Arabidopsis thaliana: one gene and its partners. The protein of the gene in region 4 interacts with the protein of the main gene of each other region in a pairwise test. Each region holds a gene or a part of one and is shown on either strand. Other genes may lie near its edges.

Evidence for each region.
Region 1: the proteins of AT2G16030 (region 4) and AT1G47530 interact in a protein complementation assay, tested with the Arabidopsis thaliana proteins (one large-scale study listed by BioGRID).
Region 2: the proteins of AT2G16030 (region 4) and AT3G53810 interact in a protein complementation assay, tested with the Arabidopsis thaliana proteins (one large-scale study listed by BioGRID).
Region 3: the proteins of AT2G16030 (region 4) and AT2G21237 interact in a protein complementation assay, tested with the Arabidopsis thaliana proteins (one large-scale study listed by BioGRID).

Annotation. Positions count from the first base shown.
Region 1 is NC_003070.9:17,448,310-17,455,513, reverse strand, and holds AT1G47530 (MATE efflux family protein), read right to left. Parts: upstream 3,962-7,204; 5' UTR 3,791-3,961; coding exon 3,521-3,790; exon of another isoform or gene 3,227-3,520; intron 3,126-3,226; coding exon 2,930-3,125; intron 2,841-2,929; coding exon 2,495-2,840; intron 2,399-2,494; coding exon 2,312-2,398; intron 2,227-2,311; coding exon 2,170-2,226; intron 2,078-2,169; coding exon 1,720-2,077; intron 1,638-1,719; coding exon 1,551-1,637; intron 1,458-1,550; coding exon 1,404-1,457; 3' UTR 1,053-1,403; downstream 1-1,052.
Region 2 is NC_003074.8:19,931,841-19,938,397, forward strand, and holds AT3G53810 (Concanavalin A-like lectin protein kinase family protein), read right to left. Parts: upstream 3,553-6,557; 5' UTR 3,347-3,552; coding exon 1,313-3,346; 3' UTR 1,130-1,312; downstream 1-1,129. Other genes in the region: Fes1B, read left to right, coding at 1-100, 181-283, 393-879.
Region 3 is NC_003071.7:9,099,122-9,104,417, forward strand, and holds AT2G21237 (uncharacterized protein), read right to left. Parts: upstream 2,095-5,296; 5' UTR 2,064-2,094; coding exon 1,563-2,063; 3' UTR 1,415-1,562; downstream 1-1,414. Other genes in the region: BPC4 (basic pentacysteine 4), read right to left, coding at 2,394-3,215, 3,300-3,368; AT2G21250 (NAD(P)-linked oxidoreductase superfamily protein), read right to left, coding at 4,287-4,517, 4,600-4,819, 4,902-5,034, 5,167-5,284.
Region 4 is NC_003071.7:6,972,214-6,977,861, forward strand, and holds AT2G16030 (S-adenosyl-L-methionine-dependent methyltransferases superfamily protein), read right to left. Parts: upstream 2,795-5,648; 5' UTR 2,679-2,794; coding exon 1,983-2,678; 3' UTR 1,460-1,982; downstream 1-1,459. Other genes in the region: AT2G16018 (uncharacterized protein), read right to left, coding at 366-407, 904-1,305; AT2G16019 (uncharacterized protein), read left to right, coding at 959-1,069; AT2G16020 (uncharacterized protein), read left to right, coding at 1,143-1,373; AT2G16040 (hAT dimerization domain-containing protein / transposase-like protein), read left to right, coding at 3,804-4,110, 4,540-5,381.

The DNA of each region.
Region 1 (7,204 bases), on a different chromosome or scaffold from region 4:
ATGCACATGTCAAATAGAAAAAAGGGAACGATAGCGTAAACCAAAATAATCATTTTTACTATCTTTACAAAGTTTAATTAATAGGTTATTGATGTATTGTATACCATATACAACATTGCATGAGACTCGAGTTAATTTTGTCTTTATTTACGATCTTGACTTACCACAAAATCGGAGCTCTTGTAGATTTTCATAATATTTCAAAAAAAAATCGTACTATTATTATTGCAAATATCAATCGTTTCAGATATAAGTAAAACATCGAAACTTCAATATCTTACAGTAAAACCCAACTATAAGATTATCTTTTGACAAGTACTCTTTTTTTTCTTCATAAATTTCCAATAATAGAGATTACAAGGTCAAAAGACTCAAGAGAAGCACGCATGCCCAAACAGGAAAACAACAAGACGCTAAACCATTATTAATTAGTTATGTCCTTAAATCCATGCAAATCTAAACCATTCACAGATTAAAAAAAAAAAAGATAAGTTAGACTGTAATTGTATATATATTGGTTGATTTACAGAGTTTGATATATCATAAAATGTATCAAACAATATAATCATTAAATGATGTTAGTTTGATATTTCAGAAAATGCATTTGTTACCATATTACGGAATCCATTATCCTAACCGTGACCGAATTGATGAAAAGGATTAGTGCATGGGTTGATTCACAATTTGAGCACTATTACTTGTTTGTGTATTTATAGTAAATCTCCATGCGAAAACCAAACATAGTAATTAAGGGTAGACTATCTAGTATATAGCACACAGCTCTCGACTGACCTAAATTTTAATTCAAACACTTATGAGATGGGCAGACAAATTTACTGCTTTAACGGTTAGTCTGTGACCCTGATTCATGAATTGTTGTAGTCCATCTCTAATATATTGTATCGTCACACAACTATTTTGATATTCATTTTCATCTTCTTTTTTTCTTTTTAATATTCCTCTTGTTTATATAAGATTTGTTAATTTTTAGTGACTGAGTTGCAACAGATCAACGACAGTCCTAAAGATCTGTTGCTAATACCACCACTAATTAGCTATGTTTGACAAACGGTAAGATCTTCGCCTTCAAATGAACATAAACATTGGATCAAGTCTGACCATTAAAATAAAAACGAAGGATCAACAAGCTTATGAAGATTAAATCTCATACTTAAAATTAATCAAGAACTTTGGCTTAGCAACAACCATCCTAGAATCTAACATAAGTCTAACACATAACAAACCGTACCCCTCTAACAATCACTGAGAGACTCGTTAACTTTAAGCATATCAAAAAACAAAAAGAGATGATGTTGTTCTCCGATAAACAATTTTCTCAACATTGAACATTGACAAAAAAAGATCAATAACTGATATAGTCCACGTCCTAAGGGAGTTGTTGATCACTCCTGCGCCGTTCCTCCCCATCTCTGAACTCGACTCTCCGCTTGCTCAGCCTGCATAATTTAGAATTCAAAGCTAATTAATGAAATGATCAAACCAAACACAAAGGAGGAACATAGCAGCAACTAAAAGACAAAGTAAGAGACCTCTTTGTTCCAGTTAGTGAAGTAGATGATTCCAATCAATATAAGTGTCTGCAAGCATATTCCAGCTACCATACCTCCCCATATTCCCTACAAAAATATACAAATGATTTAACACCAGATTAAAAAGAACAAGGCTAATACAAAATGGTCATATTAGTAAATAGCTAACCTGAACGCCGAGGTCTAGTGTGAATCCAAGAACAAGACCAGCAGGTAGTCCGATAATGTAATAACACGCAATGTTCACGTATGCAACCAGAGCCTGCCACCCCGCTCCAACCGCAACCCCTGACAAGACGGGCTGGAGGCTGTTCAAGAGGACAGTGAAGCCCAACAAGACGGCTATTCTCGTGGTTTCTGCTGCCACAGCTTCGCTTGAAGTGAAAAGATAAGGGAAGCTGTCTTTTGTGGCTAAGACAACAATCATGCACACTATCCCGATAAGAGTTGAAGTTATGGAGACGACTATCACTGAGAATTTGGCTAACGCTGCGTTTCCTGCACCCAGCTCATTCGATACTCTCACACTGATCACACCAAGAGACAAAGTTCACCAGTTCATGAGATTTTTATTAGCTTTCCAAATGTGGCTCCTGAAACATAAAGGTAGAGAACTTACCTAATCGCAGCGTTAAACCCGATCGAAATCATGGCAGTCCACCCTTCTATATTCATGCTGTGAACCCCAAAACATAAAATATGTTACTAAACAAACCTATTTTCAGTGAGAAACTAACCAAAGATCAGCACAAATTGATTACCAAATGGAGATGGCATCGACTGGTATCAACGGGTTAGGAAGGAGACCGGTAACAACAACCAGAACCATCAAGTACCAAAACTCCAAACTGCAAAACAAAAACAACTAACCTTTCATTACAAGCGAAGTCTCAGCTAACGTAAGTCTAAAGCTATCTTCTAGCCAAAAAAAATTGGATAGGTACCAAAGCATAAGAGCAGAGGCTAAGGAAAGTTTGACAAATCCATAGAGGTCCCGAAACGCTAGCATAGAAAATCCAGTCCACGCACCGTCTGATTTGGTGATTAAGATATACAAAAGCTGACCAATAACAATCAACCACCACGAGGTATTGAGAGTGATAGCTGCACCTACAAGTCCCCACTTAAAGTAAAGAATGAAGAGCCAGCTAAAAACTGCATGTATAACTAAAACCACTCCAGAGATCCAAGCCATCACAAGAACTTTCCTCTGTGACTGCAAGAATTTCTGTATCGGGAAGTTGGCTGCATAGGCAAATAGTTGCGGGATCATCCACAATGCGAACTTCCCTGAAAATTATAACAACGCAGAAGTTGTTACGTGAACATTGACTCCAAACTCAAAACCAATTGGCAAAAAGGAATAACAAGAATGATACCCGCGGCTTTAGAGATGTGAGGAGCCTCGCCGAAGAAGGAAAGAATAGGAGGAGCCCAAATGTAGACGGGAAGCAAAAACAAAGCAGTAGTAAAGAGAATGACCCATGAACGTTGCATATATATTCCCATCATCCTAATCTGTCCCGCGCCATATGCTTGTCCACACAACGTCTCCAATGCACTCCCCATCCCTAACTGCCACCATTTTCCATCATCAAAATGTTTATATTGTTTGATCTCTAAGCTTTTTTCATAGGAAACTTAAATGACAAGCAACAAAATTCAAGAGAGCTTACACAAGGACCCTCGTAGAGATTACTTGTATAACAAATATTATAACACTGAACTCAACTACATTAATATATCTACTTTATTTGAATATAAAACACACTGTTAGGATTTACTTAATCACAATTACGAAACAATTTTAAATGTATGGGAAAATCTACTTCATTGATATTAACGAATATTGATATTAATTAATACAAAAAAAGTCCTCAAATATTGACTTTTATTTCTGTGGCTATTATTAGAACACATTATCCATTACCAAGAACCTGACACGTGTGAAGGGTGTTTACGTAACATACCATGACACCGAAGGCAAGACCGGAGATAACAGAGTTTTCAACTGAGACGGCGGCGAGCTCAAGTTCACCGAGACGGCCGGAGAAAGTCTGAGTGAGAGCACCAAGAGAGTATTGACTTATGGCAGTGAAAATCGCTGGTCCTGCTAACTCCCAAAGCCGCTTCGACTCTTCGCCGAACTCTTTGGCCCATACTTTTGACGCCGACTTGGTTCCGGTGAGTTCCGGTGGCTCACGAGGGTCAAGCAACGGCAAAGTCTTATCCTTTCCCATGTGAAAAAAGCTCTGTTTTAGTTTCTCTTCTTTGCTTTCTCTTTGTTCTGACTTATGATATATGTATATAAATACAGAAGATGGAGACACACTAGTGTGGTAGGTGCCATAATGAATAGTCTAAAAAGGTCTGACATGAGATCTATCCAAAAGAAATAAACCGCCAAAAATGACTAAACGAAGGTAATGGAATTATTTAGTACATATTCTATAGTTTTGGTATGAATCGGCCTAATTTGGTAGTTAAATATTATCAGCATAATTTCTTAATATGAATAAATCTCAATTTAATGGGATTGTTAAGAGTATGGATTGGTTGAAAACTTGAAATGATAGTGTGATATGATAACAAAGATTTTTGTAATAGTTTATTTGGTTTTTGTTTTTGGGCCGAAGTTTGGGGCCGAAACTTTAAACACGTAGTTGAATGCAAGAAAAAAAAAAAAAAACTTGTGGTAATATGAAGAAGTACGTATGTACTAGGTAGGTACACTTTAGTTTTTCCTAGAAGGAGTTAACCGAGTCGTACAAGTAATTAAAATTATTGTGGACAGTGAATATAATGGACCAATGAGGACTTACCAGCTCGTTAGAAATACTTCGACCAAGGTTAAATATAATCAGACGGCTCTTTGAGTCCTAAATTGGGTTCAAAGGGTGACAACGGCAATGAACATTTAGTCACTTACCCTATCGCATTGAATTGGTGGATCTTGTTTTTATTTTCTTTTTAATATTAGGTGTTGGTGAAAGTGCAAAAGAAATTAATAAAATTGATGAACCAAAAAATCGACAGCATTTTGTAACAAGAAAAGCTTTTACACTGTCTGAACTTAACCAAAAGGAGAGTGAATCATGCATGGTCAATTGGTCATTGGTTAGTGCTCAAATTAACCATTGTTGTGAGAGCGAAGTTGTTGTGAAACTAAGAGAAATAAAAAGTCATGAACCAAATAATCGACATCGTTTTATATCAAAGAAATGCGAAAATATTACTTTGAACTTTAACCAAAAAGAGAGTGAATCATGGTAGATGATTATTGAATCGTGATCAAATTAACCATTGTTGTAAGAGCGTAGTTGTTGTATCATGGGATTCTTGCGGTAGTGAGGAAGCTATGTTTCAGAATAACTAGTCTATACTGAGAGGGATGAATCCTCGTTGTATCACATATTGCATGTGGACTCAAAAGATTTCACTCCTTGGTTGTTAGTTTTGTTCACATATTTCTTTTGTTTCGAAAACTAACATAGATTAACTCTTGTGAGTATTTAGTTACAATATCAAACCGTGGTGGCCTAAGCTGCTTAAGGTTACATCGATTGCCTCTGAAGGAGATATGGATGGTGTGATTGTGAAAGATATTATGGAGAATATTAAGGAAAGAGGTGATATGAGGTTTGGATCGAGGTTGCATTTTCCTGATTGCAGAGATGGGACGACCGGGAAGATGAACTATGTGTGTGATGAAGCCAGATTACGGTTCGAGCTCGGCTCTCAAAGAACGGCAACTTTATTTAGAAAACGCTCTGCTTGTCCCTTGATTGTTTAGCGTTCAAACTGTTGGATATTCCTTGCCTTTAGATGTTGAGTTTTCCCTTTAATAAAAAATACTATAAAAGTGTATTGTCCTACTACAGCTTTGATTCAAAATTATCCAAATTTATCCCAAAGAATCACTTTCTTTGCACTAATGAAGTAATGAGGCTACCACATTTTGTTTTCTTACCTGAAGTGAGCTAATATCTAAAGAACCAGACATTATATAAACAAGTGATTGAATACAAATTTGATTTCACATTTGCATATGAGAATTTAGTAGTCATACAATATTGAATAATTGCTCAGAATGTCCTTTCCACACTACCCCTTTTCAATTCTACCTTTTCTTATTTGCCATTTTCATTTATACCTCTTTAAATTTTTAATGACCATTTTACTCATATTTCGAAATTGTTTTAGGTTAACAAAATGAAATATTAATATTTTTTCGCCTAAAATATTCCAAAATAAATTTCCCACCAAAAAATTTCGAAAAAAAAATTTCCATCAAAGTTTTTTTCTCAAAAACATTTTTCCCGCAAAAATATTTTTTTGGCTGGAAATAGATTTACAAGGGATTTTAAAAGATCTTTAAAGGGTTTAAAAGGGTTTTAAAATATTTACAAGGGATTTTTAAAGGGTTTTAAAAGATTTTTAAAGGGTTTAAAAGTGTTTTAAAAGATTTACAAGGAATTTTTAAGGCGTTTAAAATATTTACAAGGGTTTTTAAAAGATTTTTAAAGAATTTAAAAGAAAACTCTTTAAAAACTCTTATAAATCTTTTTAAAACCTTTTGTAAAGGTTCACAAGAGTTTAAAATGGTTCAAAATTATTAAAAGGGTTTACAAGAGTTTTAAAAAGATTTTTAAATGGTTTACAAGGGTTTACAAGGGTTTTAAAGGATTTACAATAGTTTAAAAAAAAATTAAAATATTTACAAGAGTTTTAAAATCCTTTAAAAACTCTTGTAAGTTTTTTTAAAACCTTTTGTAAAGGTTCACAAGAGTTTTAAAATGGTTCAAAAAGAATAATAAATGTTTTAAAATACTAACAAATTTGTTTCTAAGAGTTAAAAAATGATTGTGAAGACTTTATAAGAGTTTTAAGAAGATTTTAAAAGGATTTACAAAGGTTTAAAAATCATTGTAAATCCTTGTAAATCCTTTTAAAACTATTGTAAAAGGTTTAAAATGATTCACAAAGGTTTAAAAGGGATTTTTAAAGTATTTACATATGTTTTTAAAGACTTTATAAAGATTTTAAAATGATTTATAAGGGTTTTTAATAACTATCAAAGCTTTTAAAAAACTTTCTAAGGATTTTTAAAAGGATTATTTTGGTTGAGAAAAAATTTGTTACGGGAAAAACATTTTGGCGGGAAATTTTCTTTTTGGCAGGAAAAAAGTTTGGCGGAATTTTGTTTTGGCGGGAAAAGTAAATTTTGGCACTAAAAATTTGGTGGGAAAATTTCAGTTCCAGTTACATGTTTTTATTAGATAAGGGTTATTTGGTCATTCTGTTCAGATGAGTGGTATTTTTTAAAATGGATAACATAAAAGTGTATTGTTGCAAAAGAGTAGTAAGAAATGGTAGTTTTGCATATCTTCCTAAAATATTTCTAGTTTAGTTGTCAGTTTCCTAAGAGAGGATACATATATCTTGTAAACCATTTGATGTAATTTGTTGGACAAAACATTATTTGAGATTAGAAAGAAGTATGTAAGAAATTTTACAAAAATATTATATATGATATTATAATAATTTATTTCATGTAGAAAATGGAGATGGATCTTCCGAATTTGATTTTCTTCTTGTGAAATGGTGGGAATTGATATTTTCAAAACTCCATCGTTAAATATGCAAAAATGTAA
Region 2 (6,557 bases), on a different chromosome or scaffold from region 4:
CAACTTGTTATGGAAGCAAATGGGTTCGAACCATTATTAACTAACTTTATTGCTGATCCTGACATTAGAGTCCGGACCAAGGCACTCGGGGCTATATCTTGTAAGAGTTACTATTTCTAGCAAAGTTTGCTTTGAGAACCCAAAAGTTTGACAGTTTTTTTCTTGCTTTCGACATTGCAGCTCTTATCCGTAACAACCAACCCGGGATTACAGCATTCCGTCTGGCAAATGGTTATGCTGGCCTGCGAGACGCTTTGGTCTCTGATACCGTTAGATTCCAAAGGTAAATAGGGTCTCAAGAATATGTATTAGGTAGATGAATTGATCCGGGTTTTGGTTCTGTTTCGGTTCAGGTTTTCAGTGTAGTAACCAATATACTCTTTCTGTTTCAGAAAAGCGTTGAACTTGCTTCACTATCTTCTCCAAGAAAGCAACTCAGACTGTAAAATCGTTAGAGATCTTGGATTCCCTCGCATAATGATCCACCTAGCATCCAACCAAGATTTTGAAGTTCGGGAATTCGCTCTTCGTGGTCTCCTAGAGCTTGCCCGTGAAGAATCTGTGAGAAACCTTGATAGAGGGGATGTGAATCTAAGACAGCTTCTTGAGGAGAGAACAAGACGAATAATTGTGATGTCGGACGAAGATCTTTGTGCAGCTAGAGAAGAAAGACAGCTAGTGGATAGTCTTTGGACCGTGTGTTATGATGAACCGTCCCTTCTAAGAGAAAGAGGTCTGGTCTACCTCCCTTCTGACGACGAGCTGGCTCCTGATGTGGTTAGGGACCGCTTTGAACCTCCTCTAAGGGCTTGGGCTGCAAGACGACATGATGAAACGAGTGAATCCCCGGTTCCACTTCTTCTTGGTCCTGCACCGTGATCTCGTTCAACCAAATTATTAGATTTTGCAGTTATCAACAAATCAGCTTTGCTTTAGAATTTCTCTAGCTCTTGTTTATGTATATCTGAGCGACAACAAGACGCTATTAAAGAGATTATCTGTGTTCTGTTTCTGTAATACAAATCTACACTCATGGACTTCAAGTTCTACAACTTCTCCGTTCACTTTGCCAATATCATAGTGTACCGTTATTATGTTTAAGTCATGAATAATACTTGCGAGACTGTTCTTGATACTGAATCCACTATCGCAATCATAATCTTCATACTCTATAAATTCTTATAAGATATCACAAAAAACTCAATTATATATTCCATACAAAGGCAAAAATGTATGTACATGATCCGTATTAGTAAACCTTTTTTAAAAAAACTATAAACATAAAACATTGCTAGAGTTGGAACATCAAACATCACCTCCCACCGGAGAGTAGAGAGTCAGCAATGGAAGATCCGCCGGTAAACCCTTTAAACACAGTGGAAAAATCAGTCATTGCAATACCGCTAAAACCGTCCCGGCCTCCCAGATTCATCACGCTCCCCGCCGACAAATCCAAGGGCGTTAATTCAGGCAGTGCCATGTCTCCTCTTAGATATTGTAAGACCTGCCTCATACTTGGTCTAGCCCGAGGGTCTGAATGCGAACACAACAGACCGAGTTTCAATACCATTTCAACCTCTTCAAGATCATAACCTGAAGAACCGAGCTTCGGATCTTTCGCTTCCATTATGTTACCTCTGAGCCACAAACTGAAAACCCATTCCACAAGCAAGAACGTATCATCGCTTGCACTATGGAACTCGATGGGTCGTCTACCGGAAACAACTTCTAAAAGAAACGCACCAAACGCATAGACATCAGTCGTGGTAGTGGCACGTCCAGTCCGGGAATGTTCAGGTGCTAAGTAACCCAATGTTCCAACAACGTGAGTGGTCTGAGGATCCGAGCCGTGATCATACAACCGAGCCAACCCAAAATCACCGAGTCTACCATTGAAATCAGCATCTAACAGAACATTGCTAGCTTTCACGTCACGGTGAATCACAACTTGTTCCCATTCCTCATGAAGATAGAACAATCCTGAAGCAACTCCTTTGATAATCGTAGATCTTTGTTTCCAATCTAAGGTAGTCTCCGGATTGTTGTAAAGATACTTATCTAAGCTCCCATTAGGCATGTAATCGTAAACCAAAAGAAGCTCTCCTCTCCGGCGACAGTAACCCAAGAGAGGAACTAAATTCCGGTGACTCATCCTACCAATACTCACAATCTCCGCCACAAACTCTTTCATACCTTGTTTTGAATCATGTGAGACTCTCTTCACAGCGACTTCAAGCTTCGTCGTTGGTAAAATGCCTCTGTAAACTCTCCCAAATCCACCGGAGCCGAGAAGATCCTTCTCCTTAAAACCTTTGGTCGCGTGATAGAGCTCCTTGAATCTGAATCGATTCTTCCCAAACTCTGTTTCCCAATCATCAAGCTCTTCCTCGTACTTCTTCTTCCTCCTCACGATGTAGAAAGCGAGGAAGATGATAGAGAAGATCAGAGATAGTGAAATCAAAGGCATACCGATTTTGTAGAATTCAGAGATTCTTCTAGGCTCAAATCGAGGAAGCTTCGGGAGTTTCGATAACGAGAGCATCGGAGCTTCTCCGTTTAACCGGAAACTCCATCCGACTAAGAAATGCTCCGAGAGAACTGAACCAGTCGCAGATGAGAAACCTACATACATATCTTCTAGAAGAATCGAAGAAAGATCTCTCACATACGAAACTAGAGGTTTTCTAGGTTTATCAGAATCAAACGGAGCCACGGTGACATCAATTCGATGACTACGATTATCGTAATCGATCCAAACTTGGATCCGTTTGCGACTAATCAAACTCAGATTCTGAAACTTATCGTGATCATCCCTATATCCCGCCGTCGAGTAATTCGCCGATCGTAAACCGTTGAGATCGATTCCGACGTGATTATCGTTTGGATCTCCAAACTCGCTACTCTGGATTGTATCGAATTCGACGGCAAAGATGTGATTCGTGTCGTTACCATTGTTAGAGATGTTGAAGAGACCGATGTATTGACTAGGAAGTGCAAAAGGAAGACCTAGCGTTGGAGCTACAACGAAGGCGATTCCATGGCCGCTTAGTGTTGGGATCTGAGAATGTATCGCGAAGACGAAGGTTGTGGAGAAGGATGATACGTTGCCGTTTTGGGAATCTTTGAACCGGATTCGTTCAGTACAGAAGGCGTGACCGGTTTTTTGTACCGATGTGTTGGTAAGCTTCAAGAGACCATTGGGTGTTACTGTTGCGAGACCTTGGAGTGAGATATCTGTTAATGGAGGATGGAAACCATTGTAGGTGAAGTTGAGATTTTGAGAGGAAGAAATCATAATTTGACAGAGTAGGAAGAAGAAGAAGATGAGCTTGAGCTTGACGAACATGGCTGCTTCCGGTTTAATCCGGTTTAGTTTTACTCTGTTTTGTTAAACGAAAGAGGAAAAGATTGAAGATAGAAATTGAAGTTATTAAAAGAGGTGAAGAGAAGGATAAGAAAAAAAAGTCGTGGTAGTGTTTCTTTGAGGCCACGCTTTGTGAGATTTGAATAATATGTCAGTGGTTGGTGAAGTATTAATCAAGATTATATAAGCTTGAATTAAATAGAAGTTAATTTCATTCTATGATTAATTGGTTTTATAAGGAGGAAGTGTATATACAAAAAAAAACCACACTTTGATTTTGACTGATGCATTAATCCAGTTTGTCTGCATGTGACTTCTAGTGGTCAATGGTCAATGAGTGAGATGTTGTTGATCATTTTTGTTTAGTTAAATTAAATGAAGTAAATTCAATCTTATGAGTCATATGGTTAAGACACACAAATTCAAGTTTGTGATTCTGAGACTGGAGTTCTAGAAACGTGTTTCTCTTCGGCTTTGTTTGGTTTTATTTCCAGAACTTTTGAACCATGGTAAAGCTTTCTTTTTTGGTCAACAAAACTTTTTTGGTTAAACTTCATATAACTAAATTTAACTTGTAAGAGAACTATCATTTCTCTAATTGACTAAAACGTTCTGGATGGTGACAGAAGTATTATTCTTGCAACATTTCCAAAACTTAATATTGTGTGAACACTAAAAAGATATCAGAATAGATGTGTACTTATCCAAACGTTTCACAGGAAGTACAAAAGCAAAAATCATTTTAGATAGTGTGGCTTGAAAGGCTGAGATTGACGACAACAAACAAATGAGAGGCTAAGATTTACTATGTGTTATATTAGTGGTTATGTAACTAATATTGTTCCTTCATCAGAAAGTATTCAGTGGTCGACATATAAAATATTCCTCTGCATATGAATTTTTATAAATTTTGTGATGCAATAAACGGAAGATTCTTTTGACATTTTCTCCTTTGGCGTGATGCAGAAACAAACTAAATGCTGAGATAAATAATAGGATTTCATGTCACAGTACTTATGAATAAGTGGACTTATCCAAAAATTGTTAGATTTTTTCTCTTTTGATAATAGATTGTATCATTTTTAGGAAATGAAATGTTCCATAAATACACTATAGTCTATAGTGACGTTGAAAACTTGTTTGAGGTGTAGGAAAACGTGAATGAATGAATCCTGGATTTGTGAGAAAGAAAGGTAGTGATAAGAGGGAGAGAGCAACGACTTTAAGGAGTGATATGATAGTGATGGGTCCTCATGTGTCAAATGGACAACTGGTCAAAACTTGTCCACTTGTCTCTTTAGGAAGCTTCTCAATTTTTGACCTTTGATTTTTCGTCTCAGTCAGCTTCATGATCGATCTTCTTTGAATTTTCTTGCACTTCAATTTTATTCTATCCCGACACTCTAACATTTAGGAGGACTGGTTATAGTTGGATTCGGATGTGTTAAATTGATATGATAGGGTTTAGAAACATAAAAGAACGCCATATAACTTCTTTTTGGTATTAGATTCTCAGAATAAAATGACAAGATCATATTCTTATATAGATATTGAAGTTGGCTAAGTTAATAAAATACAAGTACTGTAAAAGTAATATCTTTGGTAACGATCTTGATCGGTCAATTTTTAGTTCAAAATCTCGACATATTTTCCAATAAGAAGTATTATAGACTAATACTATGAACAATTCGGAAAGCATACAGAAAAGAAAAGCCTATAGTATGGCAACTGGTCAAAATCCATATTTTGTTGATTCAAAACTTCTCAAGGTTTAAATTTCAGTAAAAAGAAACCAATTTTTTTTCTGGACCACAAGAAAACTAGCTTAAGAGATTTTGAAAGAAATTTCTGAATGTTTTTCTTTTGGTTGATGGATATATCATTGATTTCAGAAAAAAAAAAAAAAAGGAAAATAATCCAGTTATGGCTAAGCCCAGAATCAGGCCCAGGCCCAGATGCATTTAGTTAGTAATGTATAAGATAAGCCCCATATATATGTTTTTTTTATATCTAAAAGTTACAAAAAAAGTTCAGAGTATAATAAAAACTTCTAACAATTATAATCGAAACTTTTTCTTTGAGGTTGCAGATAAAGACATCCATGTGAAACGCCGACACTGAAAAGTCACTCAAAGAAATGTTCAAATTAGAGTTGTTCTTAGAAGCCAACCGTAGGGTTAAAATAAGCTAATGGAGATTATAATGTTAATTTGTCAATATCAATTATTTGTTGGATAAGTCCAAAAGACTAATGCGGAATTGTTCTAAATAGTTTTCCCTAAGCAACGATTATAATACTTTTCCCTCGTTAACCATTTCACAAGTTAACTAAGCGAGTGCCGTCAACATTTATATACATTACAAACTGACCAGTTATGTAAGTTGCTTCCCGCCATTATTAGATGTTGGCATGTTGCTATCGTGAAAAGTCTTTTTAATTTCATTTTTGTTGTTGTTCGGATATTTATATTGTGAACATACATTATAAACTGAGATTGCAGGTTAATTAGTTAGAAAACATGGTAAATTCAATGTAATTGCGACACGTTAACATTTATATATCAATTTATGTCAACATTAGTACAAATCAAGAACTATATGTTTTGATATCTAACATATGTAATTTTATTATGAAATTTTATATCATTGACCCCGCCCTAAAGATTGATATATTATCTAAAATGGTTTTAAGTCTTCATATCTATATTTAATATAGAAACCTAAACTCATAAAGAAAGAATTCTGAACTACATTCGTAGTTGAAATTCATACACTATAAATTAAGAATGAGCTTAATCTAAGATTCTTATTGTAAACAATTGGTTAACATTTGACATTAGTAAGTACAATTAAATATAGCGTATACGAGATCTATGATACCGACTTATAGGTACATATCTCTAACTTGATGAAAATCTATGAAGGAAGCTAAGCTAAGTCAATAAACATGTATTTGTGTAAGTATTTTCTAATGACATTGATTAAAGAAAACTAGATAACATATATATGTCCTCCACCGTTTGCTGATAATACGTGTAAAAGATGTGTTTAATTTCCCAAATACATTGTTATTTTTTTTACGTCAATTTGCATACATTGTTTATTTAGACATCGCACATTTGTATTTTCATGAATTATAGTTTCTAACATTTTTTGATACATTCATAAACTTTGTGTGTGTTTATAAGAAACA
Region 3 (5,296 bases), 2.1 Mb from region 4:
ATTTATATTTGGTTAAGGAAAGGACACAAGTCTCATGTTTTTCACCCTCCTCATATTTAATTAAGGATTTTTCCCTTTTTATGGTCTCAAATATTTTATATCTATACATTTGAATTATTTTTTCTATAAAACAGCTTTTACATTTTTAAGATAAAAAGCTATACTGTACTGTGTTGTAAGGTTATACAATGAAAATTTATAAATCTAAATTGTTTGTGTTTTGCTATCGAGTCATTAGTTAGTTATTTTGCCGCGTTATTTATTCTAGTGAGTTATTTTATCACGTTTTTTTCAGTTTTATTAATGAGTTATTGACACGTTTATTTCGTTGTAATCGAACTATTTTACCACGTTTATTTAAGACTGATCAAGGAACATAAATATTGTTTGTTTTCTTTTTCTGATTTAGATATACATTTGGTTCATCTCTAGAAGAATTACCAATGTTGGATTTTACAAATGATTGTTGTTTGATTTTTTACAGAAAGTTTTGTATATTTTTGTAGTCCTTTGATTAATTGTAATTGTGAGATTTATTTTTTGGCTATATTAATAAATATCATATATCTCCTTTTTTTGATCAACTAATATTTTTATTTTTGTTTATTAATTTATTGATTTTAGCAATCACTTAATTAGTAAATCTTTTCTATGCACTACATGGACCCACATTAAATTACATTACTTAATTGTAGATATTTCAGTGAATCTAAATTAAATTTTGTAAAAAAAAATGTATTTTTATTTGGAAAAAATAATTGTTGTTAGCAATAAATTAATAGATACTATAAATGATTGTAAGTTTGTTTAGAAATTAAATTTACCACATTTGGCTAAAAATTGGGTAAATCACCATAACAGTATTCTATATAAGTAATTTATCTTAGACCAATTATGTAGCGACAAATGTACATTAGTAGATTTACTTCCTTGTTTTTTTGGGGCCACCTTTCGGCCACTTGATAAGTAAAATTTCTTTCTATTTGGGCCAAAGTAACTTCTTATTGTAGAACCGGTAACGAAATTGACTCAAACAACCCATGAGACTCACACATATTATTCCTCGCTGAACTGACACGTGGCATTATTTCAAAGAAGTAGAGATTTTTACCTTGAATGTAAAGATTTTTTATTTTAGTTTTTCCAAAACTCTACTTTATAGCAATTCAAAATTTTGCAAAAAATACTTTCCCTAAAAAACAGAGGATCTAGTATTTTACTTGGGTTGTTACAAAATTTCAAAGAAAAACCAAAACCCATTGTAAGACTTTTTCATCTTTTGCTTTTAACTAACAATATATAGTACATCAATATATATATATATATATATATATATATATATATATATATATATATATATTGAACTCAGCTCATAAGAGGGGAAAAAAGAAAGAAAGATGTAATTCGAATTTTTGAAGATCATTGGTCGTTGGATTATTGGAAAAGATAAAATGCTGAATAACAAACATATCACAAAAGAGATTATTAGATTCTTGAATCGATCTGATAGCTAACCACATCAAAGTTATTTTTTTGAATGAACCACACTAAGTTTTAATTTGCTAACGAGTTCGACATGATCTTACTTCGCCGTGAGACGGGAATGACACTGCGCGTTTTATCCTCGGCATCTTCTTGTCATCCGGAGCAACCACAACGGCTAAACTTTGGCAGCTGTTTTTCACCGTTTCTTCAGTTCGTTTAGTCGTCTCGGTACTCTGATTCTGCACCACACACGGTTCTTTGCTTGGAGTTGAATCCACAATCTGATCTGAGCCGCGCCTGACGAGAATATGAAGACCGATCAAGATGACAAGAGGAAGACACATCAAGAACAATGCATAGTAGATGATCCACCCGAATCCCGTGTGACTCTTTCCGTGACAGATCCACTCAATGACTAAAGCCATTCCTGAGGTGAATGTAGTCAAGCTGCTTAGGACAAAAACTTTGACAATCCCCGGATTCGGAATTTGCAAGAAGGCTCTTGCGGCGCCAAGAAACCATATCTCTTGTGACCGTTGATGCGTCTCCACATGCGCCACTGTGGCTTTCTCCATCATTTTGTTGTTGTTTATGCTTACTTTGTGTTTTATTTTTTGTTCTCTCCTCTCGGTATAAAAAGAAACTAACAAGTGAAAGAAAAAAGGGGTAACAGATTTTGCTATCAAAGGGGTAACAGATTTTGATTTTTAACTGTTACGATTTTATTTTATTTTTTGAGGTCAAAACACAGATTTTTTATGCAAACCATTTTTGCCCATCCAAAAGATACACATAACAATGGTTTTACCATACACAACAAAGAACAAACTATGGACAATAAAGACAAAGACAACACCTAATCTTAAGAAGACGAGAGAAACATACTTGGACTGTGTAAACAACAGAGGCTACTTGATAGTGATGTAGCGGTTTGTCCCGTGCCTAGCCCAATAGTCTTTAAGATCAACAGGACACGAGAGATCATATCCTTCTGCTGATAAACGGCTGAGTAATCTCGAGAAAACGTTTCCGCTCATTTTCCTACCGCCCATCCGAGAATGCCTCTTGTTTGGCATCTGCGGTAATGGATACTGGGATAAGGTGGTTGTGCAGCAAGACGATTGCCAGCCGCCATTTCCCCATTTGTAACACTGACGCGTAGAGCCTGTGCACGAACACATGGGTACAGGCATTGTCGTCTCATCGAAGGTGACTAAGTTCAAACCGACATCTTGACTGTCCCAATCTGTTCTAGATTTCTTTCCAGGAGCAGGAACTCGACGGTTCAGATCTTCACCCACTTTTTTCACCTTTGATAGTCCCTGCTTGTTCTCTTTCTTCCTTTTGTTCACCACCTTCGTGTTTGTAACCTCAGGCGGAATAGTTGACAAAGGGAAGACTTCAAGTTTGTGGGGTTCCCCAATACCAAAACAATCATCTCCATCAACACACTTCCCACCAGACAAAGCAAAGTTGAGACTATTTTCATGGTGTTGAAGAGCAGCATAAGCATTATCTCTCTCTATCAAAGCTTTATCTCTCTCAGAAAGAGCTTTGTCACGTTGCTGAAGCGCTTCGTCCCGAGCAGCGACAGCTTCCTTTTTAGCAGAGACAGCTTGATTTCTTTCATGTACAGCAGCGTCTCTCTCAGCAAGGATGGACATGATCTTCTTATTCATCACCAACGCATTATGTTGTTCCTTAATCTGATGCTGGGGAATCATATTCCACTGTAACAAACATTCTTTGCTTATATAACTTCAATCACACTAACAAAAACATATCTTTAGGAAACCAAAAATCTTAAGTCTTACCATAGATTGTGCACCTTTGAAGTAATCGGGCTTGAACCGCGCATTATCATACTGACCACCATTCTCCATAACTCTTATAATCTTCAAACAGTGAAACACCGAACCAATCAAGCTTCTCCTCCAAACACACTCAGCAACAGTGAAACCAAATTTCAAACATTGTGATTCGATCTATGAAAACAATTGAAGAGTAAGAATTACAAGCAGATATTAGCACACTGAACTCGCAATTCACTATCTTCAAACAAAATCAAAACTTCTCGAATTGATCTGCCAGTTAGGGTTCCGCAATTGATTCAGATACCAAAATCAATCTGAGCTAGTCAGAGAAACAGGTCTTAAGGAACAATTTTACGAAAATTGGAATAAATTAGGTCAAGATCAAAAAGGTCGAATCAATCTAAACCTTCCATGACAAGAGATTATTCCGCGAAACAATAGAAAACAAGGGTGAAACTGAAATTATAAACCCTAGAGATACAACACATTCAAAATTGATTAACAAATAAATTAAAGAGAGGAAAAGGCGCGAAAGCTTACGAATTCGATGAGCTTCTGGAAAAAATCTGGGCAAAATGGATAATTGATCGAGAAGAAAGATCCAAAGGGTAGAGAGAGAGAGAGATAGTGTCTCTGTCCGCGAAGAAGCTCAATGTACTTACTTCGTCATTTACCAAATTACCCTCTTCTCTACTACTAAACAAGAGAAATCAAGGGTATACTCGTCTTTTTAAATATCCTCTTTCAGTTACAATAATGATTCATTGTGGATTTAAGCATATAAATAGAGAAGAGAGAAATCTATATCACTTTCCATCAATGTGTGATATTGTAGTACTTAAGAAATCATAATCTGTTTAACAACATGAGTTTATGTATGAAAGATAGGCTCACAAACATTTGAGAATGTTTCAGGTAAAGCTATGGCTTCTTCTCGTTGTTTATCTTCTTAAGCTTCATTTATTCATGTAGATAGAGAGAGTGTGATCAAGCGTAGAGATCAATGTTCCAAAACTTGGCTGGTTGGTTCGTGCGGTATTTCCTCTCCATGCTTTTGATCACTTCCATGTCCTCTTTCGATAGTTCGAAGTCGAAAACCTGAAAGTTCTCTTCCAATCTCGCAGGCTTTGATGTCTTTGGTATCACCACCGTTTTTCTCTGGATTCCCCACCTCAGGACAACTTGTGCCACTGTCTTTTTGTACTTCTCGGCCACATCCTAAGAATTCAGATAAACGCAGTCCTTTTTTAATTGTCAAAGGTTCAATCCAAACTTTTAAGGTTTAGAGGATGGGGCTTACTTTGAGAACTGGATCATCCAGGCATGACACGGTGCCAAACCACTCGGCATTGGCTGTGGCACCTCCGAGAGGAGTATGAGCAGTGACACAGATACCATGTTTCTGGCAGAATTTGACAAGAGAATCACGTTGGAAGTAAGGATGTGTCTCGATCTGATTCACAGCAGGTTTGATCTTGGAGTAAGCCAAGCAATCTCTCGTTAGAAAGACATCATAGTTACTGCAAAAAACCTAATGGTCAAAAAATTCATATATTGGCGACTAAACAAGAGAACTTGTAATGATAGTGAGAGAAGTTGAACCTGATTCCAATGCTGCGGACTAAACCCATAGAAACAAGCTTTTCCATGTCGTGCCATGTAGTTTCCAGAGAGATGGTCGTGTCTATGTCCAATACCCCGTCATCGCCCAAAGCACTATCGGTTGTCCCTACTCCTGCAAAGCATATATAGAAGACACTTAAGAAAACTTGATCTCAGTCAGTGAAAAAGGAGGACTTGTAATAAAACGAAATGCAATGGTCTCTGACTCTAGACTAATAAAACGCTAATGAGGCAGAGGCCTCACCGGTGTGTTTCGTTGCTACGGGAAAATGAACGAGGAAGAGATCGAGGTAATCAAGTTGAAGTTTCTTGAGACTGTCTTTGCAGGCCTCAATGACATGGCCATGGTCTGAATTCCATAGCTGCAAAAAACC
Region 4 (5,648 bases):
TCTATGTCTTTTTTTTTTTGGGCAAACTTATCTTATCATAAAAGAGAAAGAGTTTTAACCTCTACCAACAGAGGATACAACATAGCAACAACAAGTCGGAAAAGCTAAAGCATCGACAAACATAGAGATCAAACATAAGCGAAAGCTAGCAACAACAATGCTCAAAAAGAGACTTGGGGACAAGGGTGAACCCAAAGGTTCTAGCAAAGCAGCAACTAACCAAGAGCATCCAAAAAAGCAAACACCTTTAGCTTGGAAGACCTTGTCGAAACCACAATAAGGAGGAAACAAAGCCTCCAATGACACTAACGTCAAACAATCGGCAAAGGCTGAATGAGAACAGTCTTGAACAACAATCCTCGCTTCTACTTCAAGCAGATCAGTATTGCACACAATGCTCCCTGTAACTTTATCACTAAACACAAGTGAAGTATTTGAGAGGATAAAAAGCTCCATAAAGGAGAGATGAGGGCTATGAAATCCCCAATGAACCAGAAAAACTGGTAGGTTGTCTGAAATCAAAGCCCTCCGTCTAAGCTGCGAAGAGACAACTTTTAACAAAAACAAATCGAGATAGAATCCGCATACTGCAGTAAAAGATCGCATTAAAGCGATAGAGGTATTACAAGAGAGCACAAAAGTATCCAAAACATTCTGTCTAAGCTGCGATGAGACAACTTTTAACAAAGGCGAATTAAGACATCCACATATTGTGGTAAGTGATCGCATCAAAGCGATAGAGGTGCTACAAGAGAGCACAAAAGTATCCAAGCCAATCGAAACTAGATAAGCTACATATGAATTACACAAACCCAAATTCCACAAAACCAGAGCCACAAACTCTATCAACAACCAAACCCTTCCAATCTTAGAAGAAACATACGGCGAAGAGTAAGAGCAAACCTGAGGGAAATACTGAGGAAGAAAAGTGGTGTCGTCGGCGAGAAGGAAAACATCAATGAAAAAATCAGTGATCGAAGAGGTCGGTGACGGAGATTCAGATATGGCGGAGGAGATATGGAGAATGAGCGAGACCAAATCTGGGAGGGAAGAGGAGCTCAACGACTGAGCATAAGAATCAGCAAAAGTGAAGCAGATCTGAGAATCTGGTGGATCCGGTGGTTCCGGTGGAGTCGGCGGAGATGGAGGCTCTGGTGGTGGTGCACAAGGTGGCCTCAGAAGGAGGAAGGCGACCGAAGACGACGGTAAGCGACGAGAGTGGCTCGCATTCGAGAGAAAAAGGAAAGTCATTTCAAGTGAAAGACTCGCCGGAAAACAATTACGCCACCGGAAAAGTAGATTCATTGGAGAGATCTCACTTTAGTAGTAGCTACAATCAGGAACGCAGGCAGTCAGAGGAGCAACGCCGGTGAAGAGAACTAATCACGAACAAGGCTTGCGGCTACCTTGGTTATCTTGCTTGAGAGAAAATTTTTTTTTTTTTTTTTTTTTTTTTTTAGTAAGAGCCTTTTATTCACCAATAAGAATTTTGTTCTTTCTAAGTATACAAAATGACTAAAGAGTATTTTACTTAACTCACAAATAGTACACAGGAGAGCTCTAACAGATTGAAACGTGAACCTCACCTGGAAAGAAAGTACTTTCTTTCATCACACACTAAAGTCTTCAAAAGCTGTTGAAAGTTCTTTACTTGTTTCAAAAGCGACCAAGGTTCCTAAGAATTGTTTAGCTCAGAGACCAACTTCCAAAAAAAAAGATATTAACCTGTAGAAAGCTTTTGTTCTGGATCTTGAACTCGCAACAAACATCGCAGCTTCCCTCAACAAAACATTGCTTTAGGATCCAGAACAAATATGGTCATGGTCTTTGAACAATGTTACCACATAATCTGTTAAATCTCCTGCTTTTCAAACATGTAAGTGAATTTCAACAGAAACAAATCTAGCTCCACTCTATGAATATTGAAGCAGTTTTCTGAGAATCCGGAAAGGGCCTATAAATCAAAAGAGAAATAAAACACCTCAGGTAGGAGAGTCTTGAACTTTGAATAGTATACTAGTCTTTTTGGATCCTTCTAAGGTTACATTAGCAACATCAACGACCTTGGAGTTATGAAAAAGCCTAGCAATGTCTCTTACATCATCTCCACCACATTCATCAACCGAAACCACACAAAATCCGCCACGTCTCACCGTCCTCTCCATCTCCTCCACAAACTGCCACGGAAACAGAGCTTCAGCTAGATGTGCAGTGAAGGCAAAATCAAAGACACCGTCGAAAAACGGAAGGTTATGAGGATCAGCTCTTTTCACAAGAGGAATCGAATCAACCAATTCAACTGCGGTAACATCAGATAATCCGATCTGAGAAAGAGCCATCAGAGCATGGCCTGCTCCGGCGGAGAGACAGAGAGCTTTGGTGTGATTTTGAATGAATCCGAGATCGCGAAATCGGAGGAAGTAGGTAGAGAAGGAGTATAGACGAGATTTCCAAGCTCCAGAGGACCAGATTCGAGCGTTCTTCTTTGGGAGAGGAAGATGCTGACGAGGCGATGAATCGCATGTAGATCTCGGGAAATGCGTATGAGGTTTCGATGGAGCTTCTGGAGAAATACAAGTTTTTGGTGTCTGGAGAATCATAATTACCATTAATACTGTTCCGATGCTTAAGAACACTATTGATACTCTCTTCAGCATCTTCTCGACGTTTCTCTCCATCGTCGCCGATCAAAACTCCGATCAAAATATCTATGTTTATATAACATCAATAATAAAAACACAATCACCTAACAAACGCCGTTGATTGTTACCAAAACTCTAAATAATCTATTTTTGGAACGAAATTCAAATATTCATATAAGATTAGCGGATCGAATTTCTCTCTATTTCCTCAATTTTCCACAAATCTATGTCGATTTAGTATAATTAATCGAAACATGGTCAACTAACAAACGCTGCGAATTGTTATCAAAACTCGAATCCATCTATTTTTGGAATTAAAATTCAAATATTCCTCAAAAATTAGCAAATCAAATTTCTCTCAGTTCCTCAATTTTTACACAAATCTATGTCTATTTAGCATCAATAATTAAAACACAATCAACTAACAAACACCGCCGATTGTTACCAAAACTCGAATCCATCTATTTTTAAAAACAAAATTCAAATATTCCTCAAAAATTAGCGGATCGAATTTCTCTCTAATTCCTCATTTTGGCACAAATCTATGTATATTTAGCATCAATAATCGAAACACATTCAACTAACAAACGCTGCAGATCTAATCCATCTATTTTTAGAATCGAAATTCAAATCTTCCTCAAAAATTAGCGGATCAAATTTCTCTCTTGTTCCTCAATTTTCGCACAAATCTATGTCTATATAGCATCAATAATCAAAATACAATCAGCTAACAAATGCGCTGCTTTGTCACCAAAACTCGAATTCACTTATTTTTAGAATCAAAATTCAAATATTCCTCAAAAATCAGCGGATCGAATTTCTCTCTAATTATTCGATCAAGAAACAAATCCTACATTGTTAGCAAGTAGTGGGTATAATGACTGGAAAAATGCTGCGCAAAGGCTGAAAAGACATGAAACAACTCATCGTCATATTATTTCCATGACTCATTGGATGGAGCTAGAAGTGAGATTACAAAAGAGTAAAACAATTGATAACCATATGGAATAGGCAATTAAGAAGGAGAAAAAACATTGGAGAGATGTATTGGTGAGAATAATTGCAGTGGTAAAGACTCTAGCTAAACAAAATTTAGCATTTTGTGGAACTAAAGAGAATGTTGATGATCCAAATAGTGGAAATATTTTGGCATTTATTAGAATGATTGGAGGTTTTAATTCGGATATGAAGGAACACATTCGGCGGGCTAATAAAGGTGAAATTCATTGCCATTTTCCCAGTCATAAGAGTCAGAATGAATTGACAGAATTACTTGCTAATGATACCAAGATGATGATCTTAAAGAAGATTAAAGATGCGAAGTATTTTTCAGTCATTCTTGATTCCATTCCGGATGTTAGTCGTAAAGAACAAATGACCTTCTTAATTCGATGTGTGGATGTTTCAACGTGTTCACCTAAGATTGAGGAGTTCTTCTTGACGTTTCTACACATCAAAGATAAGAGGGGTGAGGGGCTTTTTAAGACTCTTCAAGATGCATTGATTGATCTTAAGTTGAATATTGATGATGTAAGATGACAAGCATACGACAACTGACAAAATATGAAGAGAAAACATAAAGGAGTTCAGAAAAGGTTGCTTGATATAAATCCAAGAGCATTTTACACTCCATGTGGATGCCATGGTCTTAACCTTGCACTTTGTGATATGGCTTCATCATCCAAGAAAGCTGTTTCTTTTTTTGGAATTGTTCAGCGAATACATTGTCTGTTTGAAGCTTCAACCAACAATTGGGAAGTGTTTAGAGAAACAGTGAATGGTATTACACTTAAACCGTTGTCTCAAACGCGTTGGGAAAGCCGCATTGATAGTCTTAAACCAATAAGATATTAAGCTTCAAAGATACAGATACAAGATGCACTTTTTTATTTGGCAGAATACACTGATAATCCAGGACACCGGAGTGATGTTGAGTCTCTTACAGAGAGTGAAACACATGGAATTGGAGGGTTTGAATTTTTATTTGGAATGATAATTTGGTACGATTTGCTAGCTGCTGTGAATATAGTAAGCAAATCCTTACAGTTTGAGGATATGGATCTTGAGGTTGCTATTTCTCAGTTAGGAGGGCTTGTTACTTATTTGAAAAACTACAAAGAAACAGGTTTCGAGAAAGCCAAAGTTGAATCTACACAAATTGCCATTGAGATGAAGATTGCGCCGGTATTTCCAAAAAAGTCGGTGAAAAAAAAAAAGCAATTTGTTGAGGATGTTGAGAAGATTGATGAAAGTAAGATTGCAGAGGAGAGTTTTAGAATTGATTACTTCATCAATATAATGGATCAAGCTATAATGTGTATTGAGATAAGATTCGAGCAATTCCAAGTATATGAACAAATATTTGGATTTTTGTTTGGTGTAAAGAGATTGAAGGTAGCAGAAGATGATGAGTTAAGGACATCGTGTATGAAGCTTGAAGCTTCTTTGAAGCATGATGTGCATTCAGATGTTGATGGAGAAGATCTGTTTATGGAGCTGAAACTTTTAAAAGATGTGTTGCCAAAAGAGATTACAAAGCCGGTCGAAGTGTTGAAATTTTTGAAAATAATGGATAGCTGTTATCCAAACACATGGATCGCTTATCGTATACTACTCACCATTCCGGTTTCAGTTGCTTTGGCGGAGAGAACTTTTTCAAAATTAAAGCTCATAAAAAAATATCTACGTTCGACTATGTCTCAAGAGCGATTGAATGGTTTGGCGCTGATATCTGTATAACAAGAACTGGTTGAGAAGCTCGATTACCAAAAATTGATGAATGAATTTGCAGGAGCGAAAGCTAGGAGGATTATGTTTCGCCAGGAAGAAAACTGAGATTTCTATTTATTTTTTTTCTTGTTAACAATTTTTATGTTCAATTTTCTTAAACAAAATAAATTTCATATTATTTTATTTTGCGAAAAAAATATATTTGGGCATCAATTTTGAATTTGCTTTAAGCATCAAATATCCTCGGACCGGCACTAAATCTAGGGTTACCATTCT